Coturnix japonica: one gene and its partners. The protein of the gene in region 1 purifies or fractionates together with the protein of each later gene. This does not show direct contact. Links are inferred from orthologs where the notes say so. Each region holds a gene or a part of one and is shown in the gene's direction. Other genes may lie near its edges. The genes, in order: CEP43, PPP2CB, PPP2R3C and CEP350.

Region 1 (4,360 bases):
CATGGTAACTATTGAGCCACAGCCTGAACCATTGATTGAGCCTCTGGGGAAAGGACCCGGTCAGCTCTGGGAGCCATCCAGAATGTGGCTTGTCTTTCATGTCGTGATTGCTCATCACCTCACTGTTCTCACATCCACTTTTTGGTCTCCATAAATACCCAGGAATCATCAATGAATGGCACTGGGTGCCTTTTTTTTTCCCTTCTCCATGGAGGAATTCGGTTCCATATCTTTGCTTCGTATTCATTTCCATATCAGACACCATTTTGTCAGACTGCCCCACTGCTACCACCTGTTGCATGGCAACAAAACGTAATGGAAAGTTGGTGGGAACGTTCAGCCTCTACTGAATGATGTCATGGGCCAACATAGTGAAATAGGAGGAGTGCTCTGAAAGTAATGCCTCTTATTTCTCTGGTTAATTTATGTTGTGCTATCACAAAGCACATGGTACAGTCAGGTGAATGTTTTGAGTTTTGTCTCTGTTTGCAAAAGATATTATTAAAAAAGAATGATCCCGAAGCACCTTTTAGATCTCTTTATTAGGTCTGGAGTTGTATCAGAGGAATGAAATGGTGTAGATAATAGCAGGTAGTATGTTTCTACACTTATGTCTTGCTTCTGATGGGGCTTTGAGAAGCTGGAACTGAACTATTATCTGCTTTAAATAATAATAAAAATGCAGTGCTGTGGGATTTACTAGGGTTCAACCTTGTGCTGAGGTGAAAGACGGTCATTGTCTCCAGCTGCAGGACTCCTACTATCACACCTGGTGGAGCTCACTATGTCTTAAGGGATCGCCGCAGAACTGCTGCCACCTGCTGCACGTCACAGAATCACACACAGAATCACAGAATGACCCGGGTTGGAAGGGACCTCAAGGATCATGTAATTCCAACCCCCCTGCCTGGCAGGGCCACCAAACATACACCTTTACTAGATCAGGTTGCCCAGGGCCCCGTCCAACCTGGTCTTGAACACCTCCAAGGACGGGGCATCCACAACCTCCCTGGGCAGCCTGTTCCAGGGCCTAACCACTCTCCTAGTGAAGAACTTGCCCCTAGCATCCAACCTAAATCTTCCCTCTTTTAACTTAAAACCATTTCCCCGTGTCCTGCTATTGTCAGCCCTTTCAAAGAGTTTACTCCTGTCCTCCAGAATTGGATCCTCTTCCCACAACGCCTCATTTCATGCATTTCTTTCTTACATTCCCTGGATAGCCGTAAATTCCGAAGTTCTTCATGAAAACGTTTAGATCTTTTCAAGTGAAACTACGAAAAAGCTCGGCCTGGGGTAAATAGATGAATTCCAAAATCAATTATTGCGGCTGTTTACTATGCATCACATCTTAGACTCCCCCCAGCCTTCCTATGCGGCCGTGCAGCAGCAGCAGGGCAGTGTCGGCTCGCTGTCCCTTAGTGCCCGCCCTTTTGGCTCTGAGGGCCGCGTACGGTCGCGGATCTCACCGGCCGCTGCCGCTTTGAACTTCCCGCGCCCCGCTCCCAGTGGCGGTTGCGTTGCGCGTTCGCCGCCGCAGTTTCCACGGTGCTGCGGCCGCAGAAGAGCCGGTTGGCCGGGGCGCTGCTGCGTCTTACCGGGCTCGCTTTTGTAGGTAGCCTCTGTCCCGCTGCGCCCCGTGCCCTCGGACCAGCCGCTGTGTGTGTGTGTGTGCCTCCTGCGGCGGCGGCGAATCTGCCGGGCCCGTCCCGCCGATAGCGCGGTTTGGGCGGTTGTCAGGGAGAAACAAGATGGCGGCGGCAGCGGCGGAGGAGGACACGGAGCTGCGGGACCTGCTGGTGCAGACGCTGGAGAGCAGCGGGGTGCTCAATAAAATCAAGGTGCGACGGGAAGGCCTCTCCTCGTTGCGCAGCGCTCTCGCGGTGCCGTGCGGGTTGCGCTGCCGGTGCCGGCCCTGCTACTACACCTCGGGGCGTGTGGGTGCTCGGCAGGCTGCGTCCCCTCGCGCCGGTACAGGCCCACCCGGCTGTCACGGCCTGGCGGCGGCGCCCGCCCTCCCGGCGCTGCCTATAGCCCGCTCGGGCCGGGGCTTGGCGAGGAGCCGCGTCCAGCGAAATAGAGCTGCTGCGGGCCTGGCCTACGGGCTGCTCGGCGGAGAGCGGCCTGGCGGCTGTGCCCTCTCTTGCATTGAGTGCAGCGTGTCTGCCGAAGCCACTGCGCTGCTTTCCTGCTGCTGTCCAACCCGCCGAGCCGAGCTGGACGGAGCTCGCAGAATTTCCTTTCTCTTCCACGCTAAAAGATGCTATTGGTTATCTTCAGCTTGGTTATCTTAAGCCGGAGGCCTCGAGGCTCGCTGTTTAAACATAGGTGTGTAGGGTGGTGGAGTTGTGTCTTGGAAATTGGCTGAACCTAAGAAGGGCCTGTGTATGCTGTCTGCCTACTAATGCTGTATTAAAAAGCATTGACTGTTGTGATCCCCTGTTTCCTAGGAGAAATGGCTTTAAGTTGAAAGAGGGAAGATTTAGGTTGGATGTTAGGGGGAAGTTCTTCACTAGGAGAGTGGTTAGGCCCTGGAACAGGCTGCCCAGGGAGGTTGTGGATGCCCCGTCCTTGGAGGTGTTCAAGACCAGGTTGGACGGGGCCCTGGGCAACCTGATCTAGTAAAGGTGTATGTTTGGTGGCCCTGCCAGGCAGGGGGGTTGGAACTACATGATCCTTGAGGTCCCTTCCAACCCGGGTCATTCTGTGATTCTGTGATGAAGTGTAGTTGGTTTGCAAGCCTTTAGCCTGGACTTGTGTCAGCAAGGGTACAGAATTGGGTTCTGTGGATTCACACTCAAAGCTTTCAGCAATAACTGTTACATACAACAAAGAGCCACGCAGATATCAGGGATGAGAACTGTTGAATCTCATTGTAAGATCGGGGAGAAAAGAAGCTTGGATTTCAAATTAAGAATGGTGGCATTTATCCACAGAATTCTACTTGAAGCATTTTAATGAGTGGACAATCATGATTGGTATTCCAGGAATATATGAACAGCTGAAATGGTTGATGGAAGTGAGCACATCCTTGTGTCTGTACTTAGAAGCCCAGTGAGTATTGGCTACCTGTGATCACAGAATCACAGAATGACCCAGGTTGGAAGGGACCTCAAGGATCATGTAGTTCCAACCCCCCTGCCTGGCAGGGCCACCAAACATACACCTTTACTAGATCAGGTTGCCCAGGGCCCCGTCCAACCTGGTCTTGAACACCTCCAAGGACGGGGCATCCACAACCTCCCTGGGCAGCCTGTTCCAGGGCCTAACCACTCTCTTAGTAAAGAACTTCCCCCTAACATCCAACCTAAATCTTCCCTCTTTTAACTTAAAACCATTTCCCCGTGTCCTGATATTGTCAGCCCTTTCGAAGAGTTTACTGCCCTCCTGGGTGTAAGTTCCCTTCAGGTACTGAAAGGCTGCAATGAGGTCACCCTGTGATACTGTACAACAATGCACCATCATTACTAATGTGTTGCTCTTGCATTTCAAATGTATAATCCCTATTTAAATTCCAAAAGGAGATGAAGGGTTCGAGTTCACATAACTGTGTTTTGAGTAGGGTTACCAAAGCCATCGTCTTTTTGTTAAACTAAGGTAAGCATAGCTACACTCTGTTGTTATCAAATGGTTGTTTCTTTTGTTTTTGTAAATGAGTACTGGCATTTTTCAAGATGGATGAGGTTAGAAGTCCTACTGTAGATAATCTAGTCCAACACCCCAGCTATGAGTATGGACATCTTTCATTGGGTTGTCATATAAGGAAAAACAACCACTGTGCTTTCATAGCATTCCCTTGTTATTTTGTTTGATCTGTATCTTTCCATCTGGGGGGAAAAAAAGGTTTATGCTGCCTGAAATTTTACAGCATCCTTAGAACTTGCTGTTTCGACACATCTGAGGAATAAAAGCATTATGAATGTCTCGTGACTGTTAATGCTTTGGTCAGCTGATTCTTGCTAATTTGATTCAAACCCTGCATAGCTGCGGTGCTGGCTGATAATGTGTTGTGAGATGAAGTAAAAATACTATTAAAAAAATAATTCCTTTAATTACACTGCCATCAAGTTTAGTGACTTAGCCAATGAAGGCTGCTATGGTAAAGTTTTTTTCGCTTAAATGGATGAGGAATGAGGGTACAAATTACTGGTTCTTCTTAGGGGTAGTAACCTTGCAGTTGGGGAGTGACAGGACAGAGGTAATGAAGCTGCAGTCTCCAGCTTGGTACAAGCTTTGGATACAGGTGCTTATAGTTTCTAAGTCTGGAGTAATCGTTAGTGGTTAGACAGCTCGATGCTATGTTTGCTTGCTTACAAGACACCTTGATCACTCTATGCTTGTGTGTTTCTATTTCCTATAGTAA
Region 2 (4,293 bases), on another chromosome or scaffold:
TGAGGGGCAATAATTTTAACCAAGACCCAGAATATAAATCTGCCTCTCGCATCTTCTCCCCAGGGCTTTTCAACCTTATGTCCTCTTTCACCAGTGTTTCATAATTACACCCTTCAAAATGGTAAGTGCACAAGAGAAGAATCGCTGCATTTCAGTATACTTAACAGTTAAGAGATAAGACTGTTATTAATGTTTCCTGGAGGCTAAGTAATTTCTGATGTTGGTGTTTTGCATTTTAGAAAGAAATGATTTATTGTGATGAACTCACTGAAAACAGCAGCCAAAAGCTGTGGACATCTAATGATGTTCACAGAAGGAGACCTAGCAAAATCTTTTCTTCCTCCTCAGAAAGGCAGACAACACCGTCTTGGTTTTTCAGTACCATGCATTAACAAGGCATTTGCATTGGTTACTAGAGATGGTACAAAGGAAGGCAGCACTCACAAGTGGTTGCAAGCCTTTTTTCCCATGCATCTTCAGGTACAGAATCCAGTCTGTGAGTAGATGAAATTAAAGGAACAACAGTGCCCATTTCTGCCTCCCTGTAGCCTCAAATGGGAGGCAGCAAGTTCTGCTCAGTTCCTGGGAGTGCCAAGCATCCTCACACCACCCTGAATAATGTATATTTGTTTCCTCAGATGATGTATTGTGCCCCATCAAGTGCAACCACCCAATACTGCCTCTCCCACAAGTGTGCTGGGACTCAGCAGAGCCGCTGCAGAAGAGGTGTGCAAGACTGTGTCAGGTGCTAGGGGTACCAGGGAGAGCCCATGCAGCATGGGGGGTGAATGTGAGGGCTGTGCTGTGCACGGGTGATATGCAGGGAGGAGATATAGGAGCGCTGGAGTGAATACCACACCAGCAGGACCCTGTGGAGGGTTGGGTGACTTCTCTTAGGCACATACCTCTTTCCAGCACGTCAGCATCAACCTCAGCACTGCGTGGAGCCATCCGGTCCAGGTGGAAAACATCTTCCAGGTGCATAACACAGTGGGGCTGAAGTTACACCGCCCTGGTGTCCTCACCAAGGACCAGGTGGAAGCATTACAAATGCTTTATGGATCTGGTTGCTTAAGTCTTAATTTACGAGACTGAGAAGTAGAATTCCCTCAGGGCTCCCTTTTGGTGAGATAGTGGGAGAGTCCCAGTTGGTTTCAGCGGTCCAGGGGCTCTCTTGGCTGAGTCTTCCAAGCTGTTCACAGCTCACAAAAGGCATCATTTATGAGTACAGAATGGCAGAGGACTTTTAGGAGCAACTAAACAAACTGTATTTGTGTAAATACATGACTCCCTTTGACTCTGCTGAACGCACTTTCAGTTGCACAGCTCGCTATAGGCGCACAGCGCTCTAACCCCTTTGACTCCCAGCTCCACCTGAGGGACGGACCGTTACGCCCGTCGCGAGGCGCCGCGCACGCGCAGTGCCGGAGCGGAAGCGCGGGCGGGGGCGGCGGCAGACGGAAGTGCGCAGGGCCGGGGGCCGCCATTCCGGGAGCGCAGCAGGCCGCGCGCCCCCGCCGTTGCGCCGGCAGCCTCAGGCGGGACCGGGCCTCGCGGGCGCCCAGTGCGGGGGGGGCCCGGCCCCGGCCGGCAGCGCCGCCATGGAGGAGAAGAGCTTCGCCAAGGAGCTGGACCAGTGGATCGAGCAGCTGAACGAGTGCCGGCAGCTGAGCGAGAGCCAGGTCCGCAGCCTCTGCGAGAAGGTGAGTGAGGCGGGGAGAGGCGGCCCGGCGCTGGGGCCGGCCGTGCCGAAGATGGCCGTGCGAGGCCTGGAGCTGCGGCCGGCTGGAGGGGGCTCGGCTGTGCCTCGGGGCCGGCCGTCGTGGCCCGCCCGGCGCTGCCCGCATGGCGGATCACTGCGAGAAGCGCCGGCTGTAGAACGGCGCCGAGCCGGAGCGCGGCCGTCGGCCCGCAGCCGTGGGGAAAGCCCTGACGTGTGATGAGGGGCAGCGGGTGGGCTGTGCTGCCGCCTTAAAGACAGGCCTACGTTGTGGGGAGGGAGGCCGGGATAGAGCAGGAAGTGGTTGGAGAGGTAATATAGTTTGCCGCAAAGAGCCTTTTCTCCTGTCAGGAGACAGGTTTGGGTGGCTTTTGTCTGAGAAGTTAAATGCCTGTGTGCGAGCATAACCATCCATACTGCAGTGTATAGCTGAGCTAGGATCTGCTTGAATGTACGAGCTGTGACAAGGCCAAGGAGCTGAGGTGGGCTCAGCACAGCAGCTCAGATTGTGTTCTCTATGTACCTCAGTGACAGCAGGGACTATTGCCGTGCACTGGATCAGCTGGTAACTGCTCTGCCTCATGTGCCTGACAGCTAGTTCATTGGTCCCTGTACTGTTTGTATTGCTGATAGCGAGCTAGGTTTTGTGTTGTCATTACCTGTGTCTCACTGAGCTCTTGCAGAAGCAGGTGATCTGTTGTGGTGCCTGTTCCTGGCATTCTGGCCAGTGGCAGCTTTCAGAAGATGGAACTATTTCTTTTTTCTTTTCCCCCCAAGTCTTCAGTAGGCCACCGCAGCAATAGGTTTGAACAGTAGAGAGAGCCTGCACCACCGCCTTATAGCATGCTAGGAGTGCCCTTCAAAAGGTAGGAGCTGAGTGTCACAGGCAGATATTTGTTAGAAGTCAAAGCCGTGGCTGCCTGACATACACTTTTACTAGTAGTCCTGGATTGTCTGGCTGCACACTGGCCTGTTTCTCCCATTCTGTTTTTTTACCCACGCTGTAACTGCCCATTTGCTTTATGGCTTTTTCTGCACTCACCAAGCTGGGACAATTGTGAGAAGGGCTGGTGCTGCAGCAGGGAGCAATTGAAGAGCCTTGAGATGTAGATGTCTTCAAAAGAGTGAGCTTCTTGTAGCTGTGCTGTCGTTTGAAGTCCAGCTGATGAGCCTGAAAGAATTGATTTGCAGTTCAGAACAGCAAGAGTTCTGAACTGCTGCACCAACCACCAAGCTGCTAAATAATAATAATAATAATAATAATAATAATAATAATAATAATAATAATAATAATAGTAATAATTCCCTTCTTAATTAACAGCAAAGCCAAAGAAGGAGCTGTGGCTGCTGTGCTTTCAGAAGCTGGATGGTATGATCAGTAGGTTGTATTGCAGTCAGTGGCTGCAAAGCAGGGAGAGGTGCCAAGTGGAGAGCACAGCTGCAGGTGAAAGGAATGTCAGTCCTCCAAAATGACGGGTAGGATGTGAACCATGCGAACCTGTGAGGCACAGCATGTTTGCTCGGAAATAAATGTAAGCTATTGGAGCATCTGGTTTTCAGGTAGCGTTGGTAACTGATCTGCAGCGCTGTCAGAAAGCTTGGGTTGCTTCCCCAAGATAATACTTGGAGAAACCCTTAACAACCTTTCTGGTCATATGCAATAGTAACTCTTGCTTTAGTTTTTAAATTAGTAATAGTATTAGGTGGTTAAAATGGGGGGGCGGGGGGGAAATAAAATAAAAAAAATACTCTGAAAGTTTTCTATGAAAGCATGGGATACAAAACCAAATTGAGTCCCAGACTTACCTGTGTGTATCGTTCTTGGTTTCACTTGCTGGCCTCACAGACAGTGAGGAGGGAAGGACTGGAGATAGTTGGCTCACACAGGGGATAGCAGCTGTTCTTCTCTCAGAAAGCTTTTGATAATTGCACCTGTAGAATCACTGTAAATTGATCTGCCTGGTTATGACATAACTGGCAGCTAATCCATCTTAGAGTCTTTGTAGAATTAATCAAGATGTCATCTGGTGATAACATTAAAACACTTCCTGTTCTGCTGCTCTTAAAATGAAAACTAAAGTCATGCTGATATTTAGTATGTAATAGAAAAACAAACAATTATTGTCACTACTGGAGCTTCCAGGCACCAGAAATGTTTCCAGCCCATCAGGGAAATGAACATTAGGCTTCTTGCATCTCTTACTGTTTAACTTTATTATTGTAGATCATCTGAGTAGATGAAGGTTGTTAAAAGCCTTTTTTTTTTTTCCCCCATTAAATAGGCAGTGAGAAAATCTTTAGAGCTCAGTCTTGGATGCTGTCTGCACTTAATCAGAAGTGCAGTGGCACGTTTTGTATCCGTGGTTGTGCTGCCTTTGAATTTGGGTACTGACAGAAGGGTAGCACTTAATGCATGGAACTCCTTTTGATCCCGCGTGGGTACTGCTGCCCCTCATTACCTGCACTTTGAGCAGCTACAGCCAGGCTGAAAGACTGAGGAGGTGGATTCATTTTAACAGGAACTGCTCTCAAGGTTGGACGTGAAAAGCTTTAAATGCTGCTTGATTTGAGAT
Region 3 (3,563 bases), on another chromosome or scaffold:
TGATCACAACAAATCCATTAAAAATACTGTATTTCTCAGGCTTGTGCTCCTTCCCAGTATAAGCAGCCTTTACTTTTGAGCCCTTACTTTACAATGGAGCTATTAGAAGCCTGAAGTTTTGGAAACCCCCTTCTTCACCCCCACTATTCCCATTGCTCATTATGATGATCCATGAATATTTTTGTGGTTCCAGCTTACTCCCACTTAACTAACTTCTATGGTTAAAAATTAATTCAATGTTAAATGTGCTGAATTTTCCTTCTCCATTGAAACGCTTTATTGTTTCTATAGGGATGCTATATTTTGTCATCTGTTTCCTTCCTAGGACAGTACTTAAACCTTGATAAAGATCACAATGGCATGCTCAGCAAAGAAGAGCTGTCCCGGTATGGAACAGGGACCCTGACCAACATATTCCTGGACCGTGTCTTTCAGGAATGCCTAACTTATGATGGAGAAATGGTAATTGCGTGATCTTACTCTGTTCACAGTATTGAAGTTTTTACTTATTAATAAGGGAAATGTCCAACAGTCGGTATCTTTTTCAAAAAGAGTAGCTTGAGGTAGAGTAACTTTTTGTTGGTCTTTGTTAGATTAGCAAATAAACTTTTAATATCAGGATGATTGCAGTGTAGTTGGAAGACAACTTTCTCATTTTGAAAAGCAGCAATGGTACAGAATCCAGGTAGCACAGGAGAAAGCTTCTCTTCCACTTGTATGTTCTATATGTAAAGTGCACATTGAGAAAGGATAGATGTATGTTTTTAGAGGGAATTTAATTCTTGAAAGAGAGACAAGGGCAAGTGGCACACTTGGGACTATCAGCTAATGTATATGCACATTGCTAATCAGCTAATCTGTACATTTCTTCATGAAGACTGTAGTGTATTTTTTTTATTGCAGACTTTGCCTAGCTGTGAAGCATGAGAAATCTAACCAAATTAGAGTTAAAATGAAAAATATCTGTGCTGTATATTTTGAAAGCTTTATGTACTGTATCACTACTTCTAATACATCTGTTTTCAGATGATTAATTACCTCTAAAATGTGCTAAACTCCAGTTTACTATATAACATTGCTGCCCACTTAGTAATTTTTTGTAGAATCGCTGAATCATTGAGCTTAGAAGTCCTCTTAGTTTCCCTTTGTTTGACTTGCTTTAATAGTTCCTTACCTCTTTTGCACTCAAGAGTCCAGAACAGAGAGTAGCACTCAGATGCAGGCTAACCAGTGGTAAGCAGAGAATCATTGTCTTCGCTGACTTGCCAGTAAAACTCTTCCTCATGCAGCTCAAAATGCTGTTGTCAGTTGCCTTTGCTTCAAGGGCTCATTGCATATGTATATTCAGCTTTGTTGCCCATCAAGGCTCTCAGCTTATTCTATGCAAAGCTACTTTCTGGCTGGTTAGCCCCCAGCATGTGCTGGTGCATGTGGTTATTCCTCCTTTTTTGCAGCACTTTGTATTCTCTCTGAACACAGTGTGATGCCCGTTTCTCCAGCCTGCTGAAGTCCTTCTGAGTGGTAGCACAACCCTCTGATGTTTAAGGTAGACATGGATGTTACACACAAAAGACTGCAGGCTTTCTGTCTTTAATTATCACCACTGTAGCTTGATCAGGAAACAAAAAATTGGTGTAAGCAACAAAGGAAAACATAAGGAAGGCACATATCTGTGCGGTTTATTAATGCTTCAACCACACAAATTATCAAACAACTTCTCTGGTCTAAGGATTGTGTACTTCAGCTGGTCAGATGGTTCGCTCTTGGATAATACTGGGATTATTACCTCTGAACACTTGTAATTTGTGCTAATGAAAACTGTTACGGCTTTTCTTAACTGATTAGGTATGTTCAGTGTTCTAAAGATGTAATGAACATTTTTTAAAGTATATATAGCCTGTTTCATTTGGATTTATGTTTGGAATACTGTTTTACATCTAAAAATGGCAAGATTTCCTCTCCTCAGCAGTCACTAGGAACTAACTTTTCTGTTCATGTTGGTGGTAGCAGCCATTTTCCATTTTATTTTGTCTTTTTCAGAAAATAGACTGATCCCCTACAATGAAATAGCTGGCAATTATAATGTTCCTGCTTGCAAAATCAATTTAGAAAGAAGACTGTAATAAACATGATTGTATCTACTTTTAGGACTATAAAACCTACCTGGACTTTGTACTTGCATTAGAAAACAGAAAGGAGCCTGCAGCTCTGCAATATATTTTCAAACTGCTTGACATTGAGAACAAAGGATACCTGAATGTCTTTTCCCTTAATTATTTCTTTAGGGTAAGTCCCTTTATACAGGTAGGCCATTTTCTGTGTTTATGGTGTTATAGCCTGTGTGCTTCTGCATGCAGATCTGCAGGGAGTCCCTTTAAATTACCAGTACCCACTGGGAAGCCAGTAACTGCTTGTAAGAAGATTTAAAACACTAAAAAATATATTCCAGAACTTGGAAAGAATTCAAAAGGCATTCAGCATTGTTTTTCTGCAGTTGAAATTAACTGTTTTGATTTAATCTAGGAAAAAATGTTGTTGCTTAAAAAATAAAATTATATATATATGTAATGATTACTTGTTAAAATCACTTATGATAGTTCTAGTTGACTGTTGCTCATGCTTTTAGTTTCCACTGTAATCCTAAAATGTGGTACAATAAAGGAAAATGCTGAAATACAGCAATGGCCTGTAAGGCTGTGGGATTTTTCATCCCAGGTCATCATTGCAAAAAGCTTCTCGCTTGTGTCATACTCCATATTACTTGACAATTTTTAGAATCATATAGTGGTTTGGGTTGGAAGGCACCTTTAAGATCATGTAGTTCCAACTGCCCTGCTATAGGCAGGGACAGCTCCCTCTAGACCAGGGTGCTCAAAGCCCCATCCCTCAAGCACTTCCAAGGAGGGGGCATCCACAATTTGGCTGTGCAGCCCATGCCAGTGCCTCACCACCCTCACAGGAAAGAATTTCTTCCTAATATCTGGTCCACTTCCAGTTTAAAGCCATTTTCCCTCATTGTGTTGCTACATGCCCTTGTAAATAGTACCTCCCTGAATATGTCAGTAATGAATTTCCTGATTTGAATATATTCCTATCTTGAGTAATAGGTGATATGAGTGTCTGCATATCCTGTCTTCCAAATGCTCAAATGTTGGTCATAATAGAAGCTGGATTCTTATTATACTAAGGATTGTGGACTTGGAAATGCACATCACTGGTTGTACCTTAACTCACCACTGCCTTATGTGTGAAAGAGAACCGATTGCAAGCTGTTCTATTAATGCCTTGTCACACAGCAATGCATCTTAACAAGCAGAAGCATGTTAGAAGGTATCATACAGTATCAGTAGAACACTGCACTGCATATTTCTAACTTTTCTTTTTTAGGCTATTCAGGAACAAATGAAAATCCATGGACAAGAACCAGTTTCTTTTCAGGATGTCAAGGTCAGTATTCCCAAATAGAGTACTACATGAAATATGTGAATAAACGTTTCATAATTTACCTATAGAGTATTGTAGTTTTGAGGTTGATATGTATTTAATTGCAGGGTAGTAGAGGT
Region 4 (3,563 bases), on another chromosome or scaffold:
TGCTGAATTCTTCCCCTCCTTCCAAAAGGACGGGATGGGGACACCTGGAAAGCCAGCCTTTACACTTACACATGGCGTTATGAGTGGAAACCAGTGCTTGTTTAATATCTATTTGATATTAAAATTGGGCTTACTGTTTCAGTCTGACTTGTGATCTGCTCCACTCAGGTTCTGGGTTGCCAACAAGAACAAATAGTTTCATGCTTCTTTTCTTTTTTCAGCCTGATCTTCTTAAAATAATCTAGGAATAGATAGAGAATATCACTACACTGTGTTTTCAAGGGCATCATAAAAGAAGCTGTATATATCTGTGTTGATAGAGATGACAATTCTAGTCCCAGATTGAGATCCACTGTATATGTTGGTAACTCAGTGGATAAGTGTAAATCTCAAGTAATTACTTGGAGAGGGTTAATGAGTTCCCTTAAGAAACGGTTGCAAGTTCTCTTATGCTAAATGTATATACTGAGTGTGTTTTGTCATGTTTCTCTTGGTGCTACAAGCCTGATGATGGTGATTTCATCCCAGTGATCAAGGTCTTACTACCTTTAGCATGCAATTTATTTAATTTTTATGTGATTATATGTATTTTTTTGTAGATAAATTGACATGATGTGGACCAACAAGTCCAGTGAGGTGCCTCAGCAGAATCTGAGGCATAACCAAGCCAAGGATTCGACTGGAGGTATGGACTCTCTCTACTGTATTTCTTTGCTGTAAAAAGTCTTTTATCATGGCTTCTTTGAAACTTCATGGAGCTTTTATAGACAGCATTCTTCTGCCTCACTGTGGGAGCTAAGACCATGTATTATATGACTTATTTTCTGCAGAGGTAGCAGTTTGGTACTGTGATCTGCAGAGTATTTGCTGATCTGCGCTGGGAATTGCCAGCCTGTGGTGTGGCTGCCAAGATGGCATAGAGACAGATTTATTTTTCCAATGTTGTAGAGGGGGAACAGTGCAGGAACAGAGGTTGGGAACTGTACGCTCCTGAAAGAAGCATCTGATAAGCAGTTACTCTTGCCTCTAGCTCAGTTCCAAAGCGGTGAAGAGCTGCAGACTGTTGAGTAGAAGCAGTAGATCATCCCTGGCAGCACTTAAGTTGCCTAGAGCTGGAGGAATCCAATGAACCTTTTACTGTTGTGATTTTGTCTGTAATTGAAAGGGGGGGGGAAAAAAAAGTATATTACATCCCTAAGAGGAAGAAGGCTCTCATCTGGTAGAGCAGCTGAGTCACATGCTAAGTCTGTGGTTCACAATCAGGCATATGATCCTCACTGTGACCAAACTGGACTCCAGAAATTTCAAAGTAGGTACAGATGAATATTTTATCTACAAGAGGACATTATTATTGATTGTCTCCTGTGATACATTCAGTTTCTTTTCAAGTTATGTACATTATGAAACTGAGGGGCTCTGTAGACATGAAACACCATCTCTCAAAGGCAGAGCAGTCATTTTTGTCTTACTTTCTTATCCCTCCTGTTCCTTAGCATCGTTTTATCTTGCCCTAGATGGTATCAGCAGCTTTTTTACTGTAAGGAAAATGTATATATATTTAAGATTTCTTAATACTTCTGTCCTCCATGGCTCTGATCCACTTAAAGTTTTTGGACGTTGTGTTTGTAAGTAATTACACATATATATATACAAACACACACACACACACACACATTTAATTATATATATATATAATTTCTTAAAGAAAGAAGTGAACTGAAGAAGTAAATAATTGTAGAGGAAAGCACTGCTGTATCCTGCTGACATGGGCTTTGTGCAGAGCTCATGCTATTTGGATTAAAAGGCTGAAGTTGATTAGTGCCTTGTGCTTTGCTCTTCATGAACATTACTTCATCTAAGATATTTGTATTGGGGTAGATAACTGGCTTTGTTATCTTCTATAATGTGTGGTAGATCTGGTTTCAAGTCTTGTAATGCATTCAGCGTAACTTAGTGAACTCATTAAATCTGACATTAAATATCTTATTGCTCTGTTAAGATGAATCATGGCTGATAACAGCCTCTTACCGAGGGTATTTACAGGCTGGAATTGAGTCATTAAAAGAACTCAATTAGCGAGCCAATGAAAATTGTTCTCAAGCAGCATTTTCTTTCATTATTTTCCATTTAGTAATAAGTAACTTATTTCTTTTCTTCTGCTATACGTGATCCAACTGCAGGATGGACTGCCCTTTCTCAGACTAAGGCTGCTGTAAGTACTCGTTCTTAACTGCTTTGCAAATTAGAATAGTTGGAATGAAAATATTACTTTGTTCAGTGGTTTGCTGTTAGACAAGTTGAAAATGAAGCAAGAGATTGTGGAGTGCATGCATGTTGAACAGTCCTGTATCATTATGTATTGCCATTAATTTATTCACAACAGCTTACTTATGGAAACATATCTATATAACAGAGCATAATTCAGATGATCTTTTTAAACAAATCCTAATAATCTTCCACTTTTCTGGTCAAAAGCTCTCTAGTTTTTCAACACAACTATTGTGAAGTTGCTATTGGCCCACGGTTTTTATTCTTTATGAAAATGAGGGGAAAAATGACACGTGGGGAAAAAACTTGAAAGCAATATTTTAATATGCATAATCTTCAAATTCTAGCTACGTCATATAGAGAACAAATTGGAAATAGCTCCCACCAGCACAGCTGTGTTTAATTCTGTCATGGATGCCAAGAAGCCCTCTGGTAGTACCAGCAGGAAAGTAGGCAGGAAAGGTATGTATTATGTATGGCGTAGAATGCGATGCAGGGTGAAGCCACTGCAGTCTGGAAAGCCTTATTCTTTTCCTCCACCAACCCAACCTTCAAGTGTCCAGGGTGTCTTCTGCTAATGATCTCTACTGATGAGAAACTAATTGTGCAGAATAAACTAGTATTTTCTTCTCTTAGCTTGGGAATTAAAATTTGCAGTATGGCTAGAATGAATGACAGGGCTTGCCTATCGTTATGAGTGATCAGTGCTTATCTCATCTTGATAGCTTGTTTTATTGGGGTTTTGATAACAATTGTATATGCCTATATTGTATATGCTCTACTTACTCTTCAGTGCGTGTAGTAGATCAACTTTGAGTGGCAACACAGCGTACATAGGTTTAATTCCATCTAATTAATGTTTAAGCATTATTGTCTCTTGTTAAATTATAGAATCATAGAAAGGGTTGTGTTGAAAGGGAGCGCTTGCTAAGCATGCTCCTAGTTACTGCAATCAGACTGTAGTAAAAGAAAGGGAGAACTTTACATTTTCTTTTGGAGTGCTGCTTGAACTCCCCAAAACTGTGTTGCTTACTCATTCAGCTCCAAGAGCTTTCTCCTTCTGGAGAGTTAAATATATAAAGGGTTCTCTGGTTTCTGTTTCAGCTTCCCGGTCTTCCAGCCAAACTAAATCAGGCAAGGAGAAATCCTCACGCAGTCCTCTTCGAGCAACAACCCTTGAAAGCAATGTGAAAAAGAGCAGCCGGGTGGAATTTCGTGAACCATTGGCTTCATACAGGTTAGCTGGAACAACTGACTGTTAAAAATATACTCAAATAAAAATAAAGCTAATACTG

What was found.
Region 2: the proteins of CEP43 (region 1) and PPP2CB purify together in Homo sapiens (affinity purification with mass spectrometry; 4 studies listed by BioGRID and IntAct, counting the BioPlex papers as one, with this or other methods). This does not show direct contact. The link is inferred for Coturnix japonica from reciprocal best matches to the Homo sapiens genes CEP43 and PPP2CB.
Region 3: the proteins of CEP43 (region 1) and PPP2R3C purify together in Homo sapiens (affinity purification with mass spectrometry; 3 studies listed by BioGRID and IntAct, counting the BioPlex papers as one, with this or other methods). This does not show direct contact. The link is inferred for Coturnix japonica from reciprocal best matches to the Homo sapiens genes CEP43 and PPP2R3C.
Region 4: the proteins of CEP43 (region 1) and CEP350 purify together in Homo sapiens (affinity purification with mass spectrometry; 6 studies listed by BioGRID and IntAct, counting the BioPlex papers as one, with this or other methods). This does not show direct contact. The link is inferred for Coturnix japonica from reciprocal best matches to the Homo sapiens genes CEP43 and CEP350.

What each region holds. Positions count from the first base shown.
Region 1 is NC_029518.1:38,164,679-38,169,038, reverse strand, and holds the start of CEP43 (FGFR1 oncogene partner), read left to right. Parts: upstream 1-1,547; 5' UTR 1,548-1,748; coding exon 1,749-1,838; intron 1,839-4,360. UniProt on the Homo sapiens protein: Required for anchoring microtubules to the centrosomes. Required for ciliation.
Region 2 is NC_029519.1:30,568,937-30,573,229, reverse strand, and holds the start of PPP2CB (serine/threonine-protein phosphatase 2A catalytic subunit beta isoform), read left to right. Parts: upstream 1-1,463; 5' UTR 1,464-1,601; coding exon 1,602-1,703; exon of another isoform or gene 1,704-2,891; intron 2,892-3,526; exon of another isoform or gene 3,527-4,293.
Region 3 is NC_029520.1:32,708,507-32,712,069, reverse strand, and holds part of PPP2R3C (serine/threonine-protein phosphatase 2A regulatory subunit B'' subunit gamma), read left to right. Parts: intron 1-325; coding exon 326-462; intron 463-2,148; coding exon 2,149-2,286; intron 2,287-3,387; coding exon 3,388-3,447; intron 3,448-3,563. UniProt on the Homo sapiens protein: May regulate MCM3AP phosphorylation through phosphatase recruitment. May act as a negative regulator of ABCB1 expression and function through the dephosphorylation of ABCB1 by TFPI2/PPP2R3C complex.
Region 4 is NC_029523.1:5,670,127-5,673,689, forward strand, and holds part of CEP350 (centrosome-associated protein 350), read left to right. Parts: intron 1-599; 5' UTR 600-609; coding exon 610-685; intron 686-2,180; coding exon 2,181-2,212; intron 2,213-2,615; coding exon 2,616-2,730; intron 2,731-3,372; coding exon 3,373-3,505; intron 3,506-3,563. UniProt on the Homo sapiens protein: Plays an essential role in centriole growth by stabilizing a procentriolar seed composed of at least, SASS6 and CPAP. Required for anchoring microtubules to the centrosomes and for the integrity of the microtubule network.